2 linked regions of the Oreochromis niloticus genome follow. The protein of the gene in region 1 interacts with the protein of each later gene in a pairwise test. Links are inferred from orthologs where the notes say so. Each region holds a gene or a part of one and is shown on either strand. Other genes may lie near its edges.

Region 1 (7,696 bases):
GAGAGGTCAAAGTTAAAAAACTTCACTGTGGTCTGTACTACAAAGCACAATCTGAGGTTTGCAAGGCAACTTTAGATTCACTTTTCTTGCTTTCAAGGCTGTTTAACACCTGGAGCTGCAGTTTTAATTTTAAAAAACAAAACAACTTCATTCCAGTCAGATCTACCTGTGCCTTAATGCCAGAACAGCAAAGCTGATAAAGCTATTGTCTTACACAGTTTTAGCCTGGACTATATTTTGAAAATCCTCAGATTTATTTAGGATAAAAGTTTTTCCTTCTTGCGAGCCGCTTTGCGATCTGATGCAGGCACAGCTGTGCTTACTATTAGACTCAAAAAGCCCGAGTTGGCTCACCAAAGGTATACCTTGTCACAGGTAAAGAAAGCTAAACTAAATAAATACAGCAAGTTATAGTTTGTGTTCGATATAATATGTGTCACAGGGCTTAGATGGGAAATGCTATGAATTAATTAGAAAAGTGTCTTAATAAAGTGGGTAAATGAAAACAGACTTGAACATGCGTTTGCAGTACAGCCACAGGTGTAAGCTGATGATTTAAATATCCATGTGTGAGATTGTCATACAGTATCTGGGTAAATTCAATAACTGTATCATCGAATGAAAATCTATTTAGAACTCTGTAAAGAAAAATTCTAATTTACTGACCTGAATGCTTTTTCTGGATCCATCCCGATCACTTTTGCCTCTATTTATGAAATTATGAATGCAGAAAAGTACTGTACTACACGCAATACCAACAGGAAAGACTGTCAGCATGAAACACACACACAAACAGTGAAAACATAGCTGGATAGGAAAACATAACCTGGAGAACTATTCCTGAAGACTAGCTCGCCTATGAGAGTTCAGGCTGTGTTTGGTCACACCAAACAATGACTTTCAAGCTCGTCACAACTGTATGTACTCTACTTTTTGCCTCAAATATTACATTTAGGTTTGCGTATTTTAATAAATCGCTGCACATATTTCCCATTCTCCTCAAAAAATATAAAGAAATGATGAGTGGCTCAAGATTTTTGCACAGTACTGTAGGTTGTCAAAACATTCAATTTCAGCCACAAATGGGAGCCTCGGAGATAAATTAGAGGAAAAGCAGAGGAATGAACTAAACAGCTATTTAGTCTCATATTTATGATGCACAGTGAGTGTGTAACACCATGGTACACACTGTAAACAGGCACTCCAAACAGCATACCCCTGCTATTTTGGAGACTATTCCTTGAACTCTATTAATTGGGCTATCAATCTTCTTAATGACAGTAATTTATTTAGGTTGGTCACATGGGCTGCTTCTTCCCATTCACAATCTTCTAATGAGCATTCAACACTAAAGCCATCTCTGCAGCAAAACAGCTGTAACTTATTGAAGTCTGTGTATAATTACGCCCTTTCCTCCTCACCCTTAGTAATGTTAACTGAGCCAATTATCTCCTTCAGCTCAAGGTTATTGTTTCTTAATTAAGAGTGGAGTATTAATCAAGTTAATAGTAGAATATCCCACTATTTGCCCACAGAAAGTTCCCTGCTCAAGGGTTTCCAAGCAACACATGCTCAAGCAGCTTGCGGGGTGTTATTTGTTGGTACCTGGTGCTGTGAAGTAGGCAGCAGGGAATGCCACATCCTGTAGCTCTGCATTGTGGGAGGCTGAGTTTGTAGAGGGGCTGTGGTGCAGATCTGACCAGTCGTTGCCTGTTATTCTGTCCAAGGCGTCACGCTGGAGGCAGATGGCCACTTGCTCCTTGCTGTCCTCTGCCTAAGAAGGAGGCGAGCCATTTGGTGTTTCTAGGATTAATGTTTCTGTCTGAATCTAAGGTGTCACGAGCAGCTCCAGGTTTACCTCTTAAATAAAATGAAACCAAAACTTTAAAAGTAATTACCTGATTCACGCTGCCATTCACCTGTCCTGTGATCATCAAACTGCCTGATAATAAGAAAAAAAAAAGAAAAAAAAGGATAATGAGAAAAAACAGGGAGGGACTGCAGGTATAGGTCTATCAGAAAAATGAACAAAGAGCGCCTCCCTCTGGTGGACACAAGCACAACATCATCACAAAGCACCTTACACAATCATGATGCCCATCAATAAAAGCAGAAATTATATCAGAGCGTCTGCAAAGCAAACCTAGAAAATAAAAGTCCACAAAGTAAGTGCTGTCAGTAAACTGTTGCCAGGTAGAGTTCACTAAATGGAATCAAGTGAAAAATCTAAAACGCATCCACTTTAACATTAAAAACAGGGGTTATTCAACCAACTCCCAGGCTGACTTCATTATACTGTAAGACACTTTTAGTAACTGTTGGGTTAACTGACCATTTCTTGGTGTAGATGATCAGTATCATGAAAAAGCGGGACAGTCATAAAATGAGCACAGTCCTTTTAATCGCTCTGTAAACAGAGTGATACAATATTATTACAATACTTCACTTGTGACTTGATATTATTGTGATTTAACATTTTACTCATAATTCTGAATATTGCAATAACATATTGTGATTTATCACCGTTTTCAACTGCAAATAATGTTGCAGTTACATGCAACGTGCTTCTAAAAAAAAAGCAGCAATTAACTGAAAATCATATATGTGCTGCTGTATACACAGAAAGAAGTTCACATGTAATTACTACATCTGTGCTCAACAGCCTTCCTGTTCTTTAGGACCAGAGTACAAGTAGCTGATACATAGAGCTGTACTCTGGGAATACTACGAATGAGAGGGCTGATCTCATGTATCACCATGCAGAGACAACGTTAGCAGAGCAAACTTACACGAAATCAACTCTGACCCCAAAACCATCCAACACACTTTTCTTGACAAAGCTACCTCCTAATTCAAAGCAAGCTCATGGCTCAGTCACATGAGTAAAAATAGGACAACAACCTTCTTAAATCTACACACACACACACACACACACACACACACACACACAAAAAAAATTACTTTTCACAGGTTGAATAACAGGAGGCAACCTTTCTGCAAAAAGTCGCAGTCTGACTTGGACCGACTGCAATCACTCTCAGACTGACTGTCGAATCTGAAGGTTTGCAAAATAACTGTTGTCTAATTTGTGAAGGCAGACAGATCACCAACATGTGACCATCAGTCTGAATGAGTCTGTATCAGTGAGCATGACTCGAGGGGACTTGAATCAACAGGCTGCTGCCTGGTTGTAATTTAGTTATATTCCTATAGAACATGAAGGCTAACATCATATTGGAAAATATGAAAAATCCCAATAATATCATATCGTGGTGTGTCTGATGATTCCCACCTCTCAATGTTAAACACAGTTCAAGTTTTCATGCCTGTGCTCTCAGGTTACATCAAAGACATAACAACAACAATAATAATAATTTTTCATTTAATTAAAAAAAAATCTATAATGCTAAAGAGCTTTAAAAGAAAAAGAAACCCGGAAAAACAAACATAAACCTTTAAATTATCTTAATTAAATCCATTGCTTAACCCCTTGAGCTACGCAGTAGACCAAACTAATGCACCTTATATTCATTGTATTCTAAAAATGTATTAATGATCCATAATTTAATAATAATGGAAACATAGTTGCTATCCCAGGAGGAAGTCTTATTACTTCAGCGGACTCTGGATGCTGGCTGCTGGTCCTTGCTGTTGTTTTTAGGCTATAATGACACGGGATATAAAACCTTAAATCAAAGACATAACAGACACCATTTAAAGCAACTCTGAAATTGCATAAACTGTACAGCTGTGCTCGGTGATGTCCTGATGACCGCTCGTCCTGGGACAGATGTTTTTACACTCCTGTCTAGACTGGTGTAGCCAAACGCACACACACCAACGATAACACCACATCACGATTAAACCATCTGAACAAACAGCGATGAAGCAGTTATCACACAAAGATCTCGTGAATTCTGTCATTCCTTTCAAAATGTTCTCCAGTCTGAAAAACTGGAAGTGACCCACCTTCCAGCAGCTTGCGGACCGCTGCTTTGTGGCCAGCTCCCCCTGCGTGGCTGGTAAGAGCAGCCTCGCCCATCGTCTGAAGTTTGATTGATTTGCAACAGGCCCTGCATCGGGCAAAATGAATGTCCTGGACGTCCTTAACCAGCCAGTCCTTGTAAACATCCTTTGCGAGCCAGGAATCTTGGAATTTACATTTGCCAGGCATAGTTAGCTCTAAAAGTTAGCTGGACCGCTACCTCCCAGCCTGGAGCAACCTCTTACATTATATACTGCCTCGTGATGCGTTCACGTGTTCTCCGAGGATTTGAAGACACAATTACGCTGTGGCGCACGAATCTTTTGGCATTAGGTTACAAAATATCGTGAAAACGTTATAATTTAAACGCTGAGATAATTAACATGACTTTCCAGTTATGTACCCCAAATCCCACTGAAGTAGGCAACGCAGTAGAGTCAGAGTGCCTGAATCTCATCACTACAGGTGCAGCTGTGGAATTAAAATGATAATAATGGCTTTTTGTATAACGAAGTGGAAGTATAAGCGCTTTGAAACTTCTTAGTAGGTATCCTGATATTTTAAGATAAATGCCTGCGACTAGGGCTACTGACTGAGTTTGAGCGAACATCCTTAAACGCAGCATAACATAGAAGGCTGTCCCTCACGTGCACAGAGTTCACCAATAAAAATACGATTAACCTCCTACTAGCCAATCAGCGTTGAGAATGCCGGTAGTCCAGCTTGATTGGTTGAAACCCGGCAAGAACGTCTGTACAGAAACACATGGGTACCAGACTGCCTTTTGGTGGACGTTAATAATGATCTTATAACGTTTCTGAACACTTTCCTGCATTGGGAGCGTGTGTAAGTAGGCACGCCGCGATATTATTGTTTACCTGTTAAAGTTTTCTGCCGTTGGATATCTTATTCCTTTCCAAATAAGACGAGAAGAACTCCTTCTGTTAGCTTGTTTTGCTAATCATAAGGGTAATGCTCACTCAGCATTGGACGTTAGTAAATACAACAGCAGACTGCACTACCCGGAGTCTCAGCATTCTTTAAAGTACGATTTGTGATTTGTAAGTTAAAACTGCATATCTTCCATTCATAACGGTCTTATTTTTTCGGCTGCTCTCTTTAGGGGTCGCCACAGCGGGTCATCTGTCTGTATCCCACCGTATCCCTGTCATGTGCCTTTGGTGACCGCAGTTAATCATTAAGTGATGGAGACGGTGGCCCTGGTTGCTCCAGTTACAGCTTTGGAGTTCCTTCAGGATGCATTTCTAATTAAAGGTTAGTGTTCAACATACAAGATAAGCAAGTGGTTATTCTTGTGATGCACTGCTGTGCTTTATCCACAGTGCTTCTATATTAACTGCATTTTTGTTACGAGTTCTTTATTGTTAAACTTTAACTTATTCAGAACTTCTTCATTTTGTATCTGTGCCACGTTCTCTTTGTAACTCTGGTTGCTGTAATGGTTGGCTTGAACTTTAGAGTTCCAAATTTTGTTAAGTACTGCACAATACAAACACAGACAAACACGCACAACTTTTCTTTTGTGGCAGGTGAGGGTCCGGTCTTGTCGGTGTACAGACTCAAGCCTCGCCCTAAAGCCTGTGCCTCTTTGAGCGTTCTCCATCATTACCGGATTCATGGAATAAGACCCAGAAGGTGGGAAGCTGTGCCATCACGGAGTGCCGGTTAGTATGAGCTGATGCTTTTTGGGGGGGTTTTTTTGTCTTTTTTTGTTTGATTGTTTTTAGTATATGTTAATATATAGAGAAAATTATTTACAAAGCGATAAGAAAGTGAAAGAGAAGCAAGTCTGGAACCAAGAATGGATTCTCAGCAATGATAAAAGTTAAATTATAAACAATTATTTATTGCGTATTTAAACTTTTTATTCACGTAAAGCCTCTAGCTATTTTTGCTCTAATTTTTCAATTTTAAAACATTTTTAATATACATAATTTTTTTGCTCTTATTCACCAGCACTGAGCACTACAGAGCCAAATGTCTGTGACCTTGCAGTATTTGGAGGCAAAGCTGTGAGGCTTGTAAGGTTCCGCGTGGAGGATGGGGAGCAACTTCGCCTGGAGGTCCTGGGCCCCCTCATGGAGCTACAGGACTGGGCTCTGGATGTCCGCTGGCTCTCTGAAGACAAACAGCCACTGCTGTGTGTGGCTCTTGCTCATAATAGTGCTCTTCTCTTGGATGTCGCAAAAGGAAATGCCCTGGTGCAGCGTACCTGTCTGGAGGGCTGTTTGCTGTACTCTGCTCTTCTTCTGGTTCATGAATCCTGGGTGGATACTGTCATAGTTGGAGGGACTGTGTTCAATCAGCTGGTTCTCTGGAAGCCCGGAGGAGGAGACAAAAGTAGCAATCCTGAAAACAAGGCTCCAATTGAAAGGCGTCTACTGGGCCACACTGGGGTCATCTTCAGTATCTCTTACCTCCAGGAGAAAGGATATTTAGCTTCAGCCTCTGATGACCGCAGTGTACGGGTGTGGGGTGTTGGCACTTTAGGTGGGCCTGAAGGGAAATGTGGGGACTTGAACCCAGTTTGTTTAAGGATCCTATATGGACATCAGGCCAGGGTGTTCTCAGTCCATCTCTCATCAGGGAATATCTTCAGCGCTGGGGAAGATGGGACCTGTTTAGTCTGGGACTGGGCTGGAAGCGGGAAGGTGGTTCGCACGTTGAAGGGACACCGAGCAGGGGGTGTTCGTGCACTGGCAGTCAGTGAGGGAGAGGAAGCGAGCTGGGTGGCTACAGGAGGGGCGGATGGAGGGGTAAGGTTGTGGCGAGTGGAGGGCAATGAGAAGAAGGTGTGTCTAGAGGAGGAGGCAGTGACAGAGAAACTGACTGACCTGAAATTTCCTGGTCAAGGCCTGCCTAAAGTTGTTTGCTTAGCAGGAGAAGAGGATGGCAGTACAAGCTGGAGTCAGTGTAAGCCTGTAGTTTGCACTGACAAAGGAGTAGTTTACCAGTATAATGTTGGGAAGTGGGAAGTAGTGTGGAATGGGACTCCAGAGTTCCAGTCCTACTGTGTGATGGAAACGATAACTATCACTGTGAAGGAGTCGACAACCAAAGTTGATTTGTGTGCTGTGGGAAACCTCAGTGGGTGCTTACAGATCTTTCCCATGTCTCATCCTCAGTCTGGAATTCTGCTTACATGTGGATCAGGGAAGATCCATACTCTTATTTGGCACAAGGGAAAAGAGTGTGCGTATTTGTTAGCTTCAGGTGCTGAAGGACGTGTCTATCGCTGGTGTGTAGAGACAAAATTCAGTGAAACCTGTTCTTTAGCTCTCAGCATCACTGCTCTACCTTCTTTCCTCCTCCCCTCGTGCGCTAAGCGCTGGCTTACAGCTGCAGTGCGCCTCCAGTGCAGGTCAAGGGAGGTGCTTTGGGTGTGTGGAGACAGGAGAGGATCCCTGCTTCTGTTTCAGGAAAGAGAAAACTCAAAGCAAAGAAAAGGAGATGGTGAGGACACAAATGAAGAATTACTGACAGATGGTAAACAAGGTGATAATGAGGAAAGCGGGTCTGAGGCAGAGGGGAAAGGCAAGATGGAGAATGAAGAAAGCAAAGAGATGCATGACCTGTTGCTGCATCCTCTGAGCTGTCTGTTTGGGGTGCACGGGAAACAAGGTGTAACCTCAGTGTATGAGTACCAAGGCTTGTTCTACAGCACTGGCAGGGACGGCTGTGTTAGAGTTT
Region 2 (7,513 bases), on another chromosome or scaffold:
TTTAGCCAGAAAACTGAAAATATATTATTAAGGTTTATGCAACAGGACAATACTACTGTCAGTTTACCCATAAAGAAAAGAACTCCATACTTTTAATCTGGCCCTTACATATTATTTCTTTTGCAGCTAAATTATTTATTAGCAATTGTCCAATATTGAAGGAGGAACCTAAAACTGGCAGGGATCCTGAACTGTTCCAGTTAACTTTTACCTTATTCCATGTTTTTAAAAAAAATTCTACATCTAATTTTGAAAGTTAATTCTCAGGGTGACTTTGTCTCCCCCCCCCCCCCCCCCCCCCCCCCCCCGCCAAGAGGTACACTTTGTTTTCTGTTCCTGTTGGTTATATGTGGTTTTTGGTTTGTTTGGTGATTATTTTTGTACCCTGATGACCTTTAAAAGCAGACTGTATTTTTGGTTCTGTTCCTGATATGATGTCACCCCTGTGGCATCGACTTACGTAGCGATTATGTTTACTTTGGCGTATCGCACTTAACTGAGGTGGTCATGTCATTTTTTTTTCTCTGTTTCTGAAATAGTGGAACAGAATAATTTAAACTTTGATTCATTATCTAATAGATTCAAAGGGTTGGCTGTGTTTTCCTTGTGTGTTTGTCCACTCTGACTCTGATGAAGGCACAGTAGTGTTGAAATCTCACTCTGTTTGCATAAGTCACGACTGTGAATTTAACTTGTTTGCTTCCTGTCATTCATAATGCCACAGCTCACTCCCAATAAGAAAGGATAGTAAAAGTCACTTCGGCACAAATTTGGGATCCCCACGGTGTTTGTCTTTCAATTGTATTTCAAGTTGAGTTGCTGATGTCACTGAATCTTGGGGGGGGGCATAATTAGGAATTTCTGTTTCCTAGAATAAAGACTTGCTTTGCGGGATGCTATACCAGCCGATTTCCCCACAAGGCTTCCGGGATTTCTTTGACACGTTATAGTGTCCTGTAACACTTCTCTAATCTTATCTGAAATTAAACGCGTCTTCAATTGTGACATTTTAACATGATCTGGCACGAGGTCCCACCAAATAACATTCAAGTGATGCAACAAAAATAGAGGTGGGCTTTTTTCCCTACATCTAGTACAATTCCCTGCCCTTTCAGCCTCTCCACAGACAAGAATACTAGTCAGTTGTTGGTCAGTACCTGATGAAGGTGGTTTTCCCAGTGGAGTACTGGCCGACCAGCAGTACCATGGGTTTACTCTGGAAGTCAGCAGCCTCTAGGGCCGGGGAGTGGAAGTCATGGAAGAGGTAGGTCTCTTCCAGCGGCAGCAGCTTCTTGGTGTAGAGAGTCTGCAGTCCCTCCGTAACGGTCTGGTACATCTCTCCTTCTTTGTTGCTGCCACCCTGCTCCTGTTTGACCCAGCTGAACATGCTTTCTGCTGTGTTCTGTATCCAACTTCCTTGTTTCGATGTTTCCAAATATTGCGGCTGTTTTCGCCTCCTTCTCTGTGAGCTCCGTCCTTAGCCTGAGCGGAGGGAACTGTGTGTGTCTGGCTCCACGGAATCTCTGCTACTCTCAGCACTGTGCCTCCTCTGTGTGCTGCTCTGGGCGTGTGTTGGTGATGTGGAGGGTGCTGATGTGCTTACCTGGGGGCACCGCCCTTCCCCCGTGACGACACAGACTCTCTCTCACACACACACACGCATAACGCACATACGGGGACGTTTCAAGAATGTTCTGACAGGGTATCACAGAAGCCTCCGCAACAGCACAGGAGTGCTTTCGCCACATCTAGCGACAAATCTGAATATTTGCTCACAAACAAATCCTGTGGAGACATTAAACACATGGATAGTTTTTTAGGCCCTCATACAGATGTATGACATGAAAGTAAGTAAAAACTAACTGTAGCCTAATTAAGCCACGGATGGAATAGTACGGAAGGTTTAACTTGAACTAAAAGTGCTCATTATGCAGACTCATATAAATGAGAGTAGCGATTAGATCATAATACTGATTCATTAATGTTTCTATTCCTTTAATAAAGCAACAGGAGATGGTTCTAGTTACTTTAGGCTTAATCTGTAATAATGCAGTAACATATATTAGTATAAGTATAATGATAAGTAACTAAAGCCAACATACAGTAACTTCAATCAAACTATTTTAAAGTAGAAAGCCGAAAAGTAGAAACACTCAAAGGACAGTAATCAAGTAAATATACTAAGTTACTTTCCACCACTAAACTGTCCTTTAGTGGTGGAAAGTAACTTAGGACAGCGAAGAAAGTGAGACAGGTGCAACAATATATGTTAAATAGTGCCATGAAAAAATATTTGCCTACTTCTTGATTTGTTAGTTTGTTTTTTTTTTAAATATTTATCACATTTAAATGTTTCAGATCATGAAATACTACTACTACTATTAATAATAATGGTAATAAACACAGATAAACTGTGTAAATACAGTTTTTAAATGATAATGTGAAAATAGAGCTGCATGTTGTTATAGGGAGGTGCTGTCCTGTAGCACCCACTGTTACTAAAAAACAAATGCAGCGTGTGTGTTCTATAAGGATTAAATTGCTGGAAGTTAAAATAGTCAAGGGCCAAAACAGAAATTGTCATTTTAAACATATTTATTTTTTTGGCTGATCCTGGTATTGTATAATTTAAAAGGGTGTACACCTTCCCTTTCAGTGGATCATGCAGTAGCAAAATGAGACCAAGCACAGTAGCAAATCTAAAAAGAAAAAAATATCATGGTGTTGCAACCAGCCAGTGAAAGTCCAGACATCAGCCTGACTGAAATACTGTAGTGAGTTATTAAGAGAGCTATTCATAAAGGAATATCTGTAAACATCAATGAATTGAAGTAACATTTTTTTAAAGAAGAGTTGACTAAAATTCCCCCACAGTGATGTGGGAGAAAATTGGACAAAAAAATCTTCGTCCTTCAAGTGACTTATTACTGGCATAGGTGGTTCCTCAAGCTACTGAATCTTATTGACTTACTTACTTGCTTTTTCACAAACTGTTTCTGCATATTTGCTTAGTGTTTATTAATAAATAACAACACTGTGTATTATGTCATGTTTTGTAGTTTCAGTTTCAGTTTTCAGTTTTATTTGTCATATGCAAGTTAGCACAGGGTCAACATTGCAATGAAATGTATTTGACGAGCAGAAGACAGTCACTCAGCAGAATGGTACAGTAGAAAAAATAGTAAAGGGCAAAATATTAATCTTTTTTCTTTTACTATATTTTATTAACAGTTAACAGACTAAATATATATATGTATATATAAATATATGCACAAACTAGTGATTAAATAAAGAAAATCTTAAATAGGATTGTGAGGGGGGGGGGGGGGGGGGGTGGCAAATGGGATATTGCACAGTGGCAGGAATGAGCAGCAGTACAGACTGAACAGTACAAAAATTTTTTGGCAGTTAGTACAGTATTGCACTTTTTTTTCCCCCTAATATAAATACCAATAAAGTGGAGTGACCAGTGCAGATTGTACAGTGTACTTGTGCAGCTGCAGGGTAGCTTCTGAGTGCATCCTGTGGAGTGCGTTGTGTGTGTTTAAGTGTTGTGGTTGAGGTGTCGTATGGCTTGATGTTAGAAACTGTTTTTAAGACTTGTAGTCCGAGCAGACAGACTCCTGTAACGTCTGCCAGATGGTAACAAGGAGAAGAGCTTATGTGCTGAGTGGCTGTGGTCTTTGATGATGCTGTGTGCTGTGCGGAGGCATCGTTGAAGATAAATGTCCTGACTGGTCGTTTCCGGTAGTCCACTATCATTTCTCTAGTTTTGCTGATGTTGAGAGACAGGTTATTTTCCAGACACCACTTGTACAGTGCCATCACCTCCTCTCTATAGGCCGTCTCATCGTTGTCTGTGATGTGGTTGTGTCATCCGCAAACATGATGATGATGTTGGACTCATGTTTAGCAACACAGTCGGCTAAGCACACAACCCTGTGGCGTTCCTGTGTTTAGAATGAGTGATGAGGAGGTGTGCTTACCAACTCTCACCACCTGGGGCCTGTTTGTGAGGAAGTTTGGAATCCATCTGCAGATTTGTGTTCCTAGCCCAAGGTCAACAAGCTTCGTGGCAAGTTTTGAGGGGAAGATGGTGTTAAATGCCGAGCTGTAGTCAATGAAGAGGTTGTATTTACCTAATTTTAAGACCTGCTAAAAACCATATTATTATTAATATTGTTATTATTCAAAAGTCCAAATGATGAGATCCTGTGTCAAAGTCATAACTTTTAACTCAAGTTAATTTTGAAATACCAAGTGTGTATCATGATTACCAAAGTTACATTTTAGTAAAATTCTTATAACTTTACCTACCTTAAAAATGTAGTTTGTGTATATATTATGGAGACACTGTTTTTAATCCAGATTTATTTCCTTCACATATCTTAGTTTTTCGCCATCTGTTGAGATGTTTAATATTATTGAAAGCATTATCAACACCAACCATCAGGGGGCGCACGTGTAGGCAAATGAAAGCCTAGTGCGAAAAAGCCTCTAAAGCAAACGAAGAAGAGGCGGAAGCGGAAATCAGATTCTTTTGTTTTGAAAGAGGGAAATTTAAAAACTCGACGGCTCCACGGCGTTAGTCGGAAATAAACAAAAGCATTTGGAGTAAGCCTTCAAAAAACGACAGGAAAATGGACGCAAACTAACACTCGTCACCCCTGAATGTAAAGTAAGTCACCGGAGAAACATTTTGTAGTGTTTAGGTTGCGTTTGAAACCGAGCTTTTCTTTGATGTCAACGTCTCAGCTGAACTGAGACAGCTCAGCAGAATGTGTTCAAACTCCTATTTTCTTTCTTAGTTTGTCTTTCGTAATGCACTTAGTAATGCACTTAATGTATTTTTCCGACTAAATGTTTACAGATAGGAGTATAATGGAGTAGCTATAACGCAATGTTAGGCATCGTGGAACATTTGGTCAGTTACTGTCATAACTGACTGTAGGTCTGTCGATCTTAACATAGCGGAAGCTTTTAGAGCTGCCACAGAAAATAATTCCACTGTTTTTATTGTTTTTATAGTTTCTATAATATTATAATTAAATACTAATTTTAGTTGTATTTAAGGAAATATCAAAAGAAGAATCCTTCCAGACATAAAGATTAACTTTTTATTATTGTTGTTATTTATTTTTATTTAGCTGATATTATTATCTGTGTTTTTTGTTGTTTTCGGTGTGTGTGTAACAAAACACAATGAGACATCACTGTAAGACTTTCAGGCTCGATTAACCTTATGAGAGGCCGTCAGTGACTTCCAGTATTTAACCCTGTTTCTAATAAAGTGAGACTTCTTTGTAAAATGTAAATAAAATCAAAAGAAAATATTATTTTTGCTAAAAAAAAAATATGCTTGTTCAATTCAATTTGTATTTTAACCGTATGTTTAAAAAAAAAGAAGAAGCTTCAAACAGGCTGAATAAAAAATGAAAAATGCAGATTAATCTGAAAGGCTGACTAAATAATTTAAGAGCAGTGTTTCTGCCTAAATAATTGCCTGGAGGTGATACCAGGATGGTTGCTGAAGTGAAATGGATAAAACAGTCCTTTTGCCCGACTAATAAAAACGTGATGTATTTCTTGGAAATGTAGGAGCAGCTGTAGGCATGTCCTCCCAGGTAATAAAGAAAGAGCACGAAAGCACCTGAAAGGAGGCTTGTTTGTTTTTTAAACTATTACATCCGTAAAGGCACCATGAATGCTAAAGGATACATTACGTTAAAATAAATATTGTTGTCTCTTCAGTTCTCAGACATTCTACATGTATTTTATTGTTAAAGTTTACACTGAAGGGGAGTTTTTTTTTTTAACTTTCTACTGTTATTTGTTTAATTAAAAAATATATTTTTGTGATGAGTCAAATTGTTCTTGTTATATAATGTCATTTTTGTAATTTCATAATGAATTTGCTTGAAATGTATGCATATATGCAAGTGGTGCGGGACTTACTATTAGAGCTCAAACAAATTTGAGCTCTAAATTTTATGTTGAACTTTAGCTTCACTTTCAGTTTAATGACCGGACAGTCACAGGTATTTGGGGCTAGAATATGTCTGTAAATTCATTCCAAACCATTTTTACGAGAAAACGAGTAACAATGGGAAAGCTTGGGAGTTTATCATCAACCTGAATTCTTTTCAGGGAAGTCAAATATGGTCAGCTGTTCAATAACCCGCTGCGTTATGTAGTGAGCATGTAGTCAGCATGTTGTGATGACAGTGTTTGTAAAAGCTCAGTAAATGTGGTCTTTCATTTTCTTGCAGGTTGATTCACACAAACATGAAGAAGAAGGCAAGGAGGTCGCAGGAGACGCACACAAACAGTGTCCAGGAGGAGTGTGAGTGACTTTCACACACAGTTGGAAGTCAATATGTGCTGCTGCTGTTTTTTAGTTGACTAATGTGTATTTGAACCACCTTTTGACTACTAATTCCAACCACTGTGTGTTGTGTGTTAGGCTTGACTTTTCAGCTCTGTTGTGTTGGCGCTGTGGTTTTAGATGTAGTGCTCTTACTGTTAAAAAAAAAAAAATCACCAACTAAAGCTATATCTTCACATTTCTCACTTACATACGTTAAAACCTTAATGAGCATTAATGATGATGTCTTTTAGGGCCTTGAGAAAGCATTTTCAGTTGAATGAAAGTTTGCATATTTTGTGTGTATCTGCAGGCTGTGCTCTGTGTAGGTGCAGTGATGATGACCCAGCCATGTTTGGGGAGAAAGTCACACTCAAAGAACATAAAATCTCTGTCCACTACTTCTGCTTGGTAAGACAAAGCCTGCAAGTATTTCTGTTTTCACAGGAATATGTCTTTTTCAGGCTTCAAGCGGTCATACTTTATTGAGACTTGCTTTACAAGTGCCTGACCAACAGTTATAGCATTAAAAATATTCTTTCTGAAAGACTTGTACAAACCAAGACACAATCGAATATAAAAATAAATAAATAAAACAAGCAAACAAAGCAGGAAATGATTTATTCTATGACCTCATTATGATTTAAGTGAATTTATTTGGAGGTAAATATTAGAGGAGGGAGCATAGTCACCACAAAACAAGAGGGCTCATGGTTTGTATTTTTCTGTCCCACAAATAAAGTGACAATGACGTATTTTCTTATATTAAAAATGCTTTAAAAGGGTCTGTTTGTTAAGAGTGTGTCTTAATAATATTGTATGCATGTGTTTGTCTCAGCTAACGTCTTGTGGAGTTTATCAGCGAGGAGAGGAAGACGAAGGCATCTTTGGTTTCCTGGTGGAGGACATCAAACAGGAGGTCCGCCGGTCGACTCGACTGGTGAGCAGTTCAGTATTACAATATTACCTTGCATATACTAAGAGCTCTACAGTATCTTACAAAAGTGAATACACCCCTTACTTTTTGGAAATATTTTATTATATCTTTCCAAGGGATAACACTCTGATACAATGTAAAGTAATCAGTGTACAGCTTGTAGGACAGTGTAAATCATACTGGTCATTAGTAGTTCAACATGGCACTCACTT

What was found. The genes of interacting proteins can lie anywhere in the genome.
Region 2: the proteins of wdr6 (region 1) and g2e3 interact in a two-hybrid assay, tested with the Homo sapiens proteins (2 studies listed by BioGRID and IntAct). The two-hybrid records come from large-scale screens. The link is inferred for Oreochromis niloticus from reciprocal best matches to the Homo sapiens genes WDR6 and G2E3.

Annotation. Positions count from the first base shown.
Region 1 is NC_031984.2:25,360,240-25,367,935, reverse strand, and holds the start of wdr6 (tRNA (34-2'-O)-methyltransferase regulator WDR6), read left to right. Parts: upstream 1-4,680; 5' UTR 4,681-4,831; intron 4,832-4,839; exon of another isoform or gene 4,840-5,030; intron 5,031-5,108; 5' UTR 5,109-5,190; coding exon 5,191-5,260; intron 5,261-5,535; coding exon 5,536-5,670; intron 5,671-5,962; coding exon 5,963-7,696. Other genes in the region: uncharacterized protein fsbp, read right to left, coding at 1,606-1,774, 1,899-1,942, 3,970-4,174. UniProt on the Homo sapiens protein: Together with methyltransferase FTSJ1, methylates the 2'-O-ribose of nucleotides at position 34 of the tRNA anticodon loop of substrate tRNAs. Required for the correct positioning of the substrate tRNA for methylation.
Region 2 is NC_031983.2:3,798,897-3,806,409, reverse strand, and holds the start of g2e3 (G2/M phase-specific E3 ubiquitin-protein ligase), read left to right. Parts: upstream 1-4,501; 5' UTR 4,502-4,678; intron 4,679-6,269; 5' UTR 6,270-6,285; coding exon 6,286-6,343; intron 6,344-6,677; coding exon 6,678-6,775; intron 6,776-7,202; coding exon 7,203-7,304; intron 7,305-7,513. Other genes in the region: ehd4 (EH domain-containing protein 4), read right to left, coding at 1,158-1,387. UniProt on the Homo sapiens protein: E3 ubiquitin-protein ligase which accepts ubiquitin from an E2 ubiquitin-conjugating enzyme in the form of a thioester and then directly transfers the ubiquitin to targeted substrates. Essential in early embryonic development to prevent apoptotic death.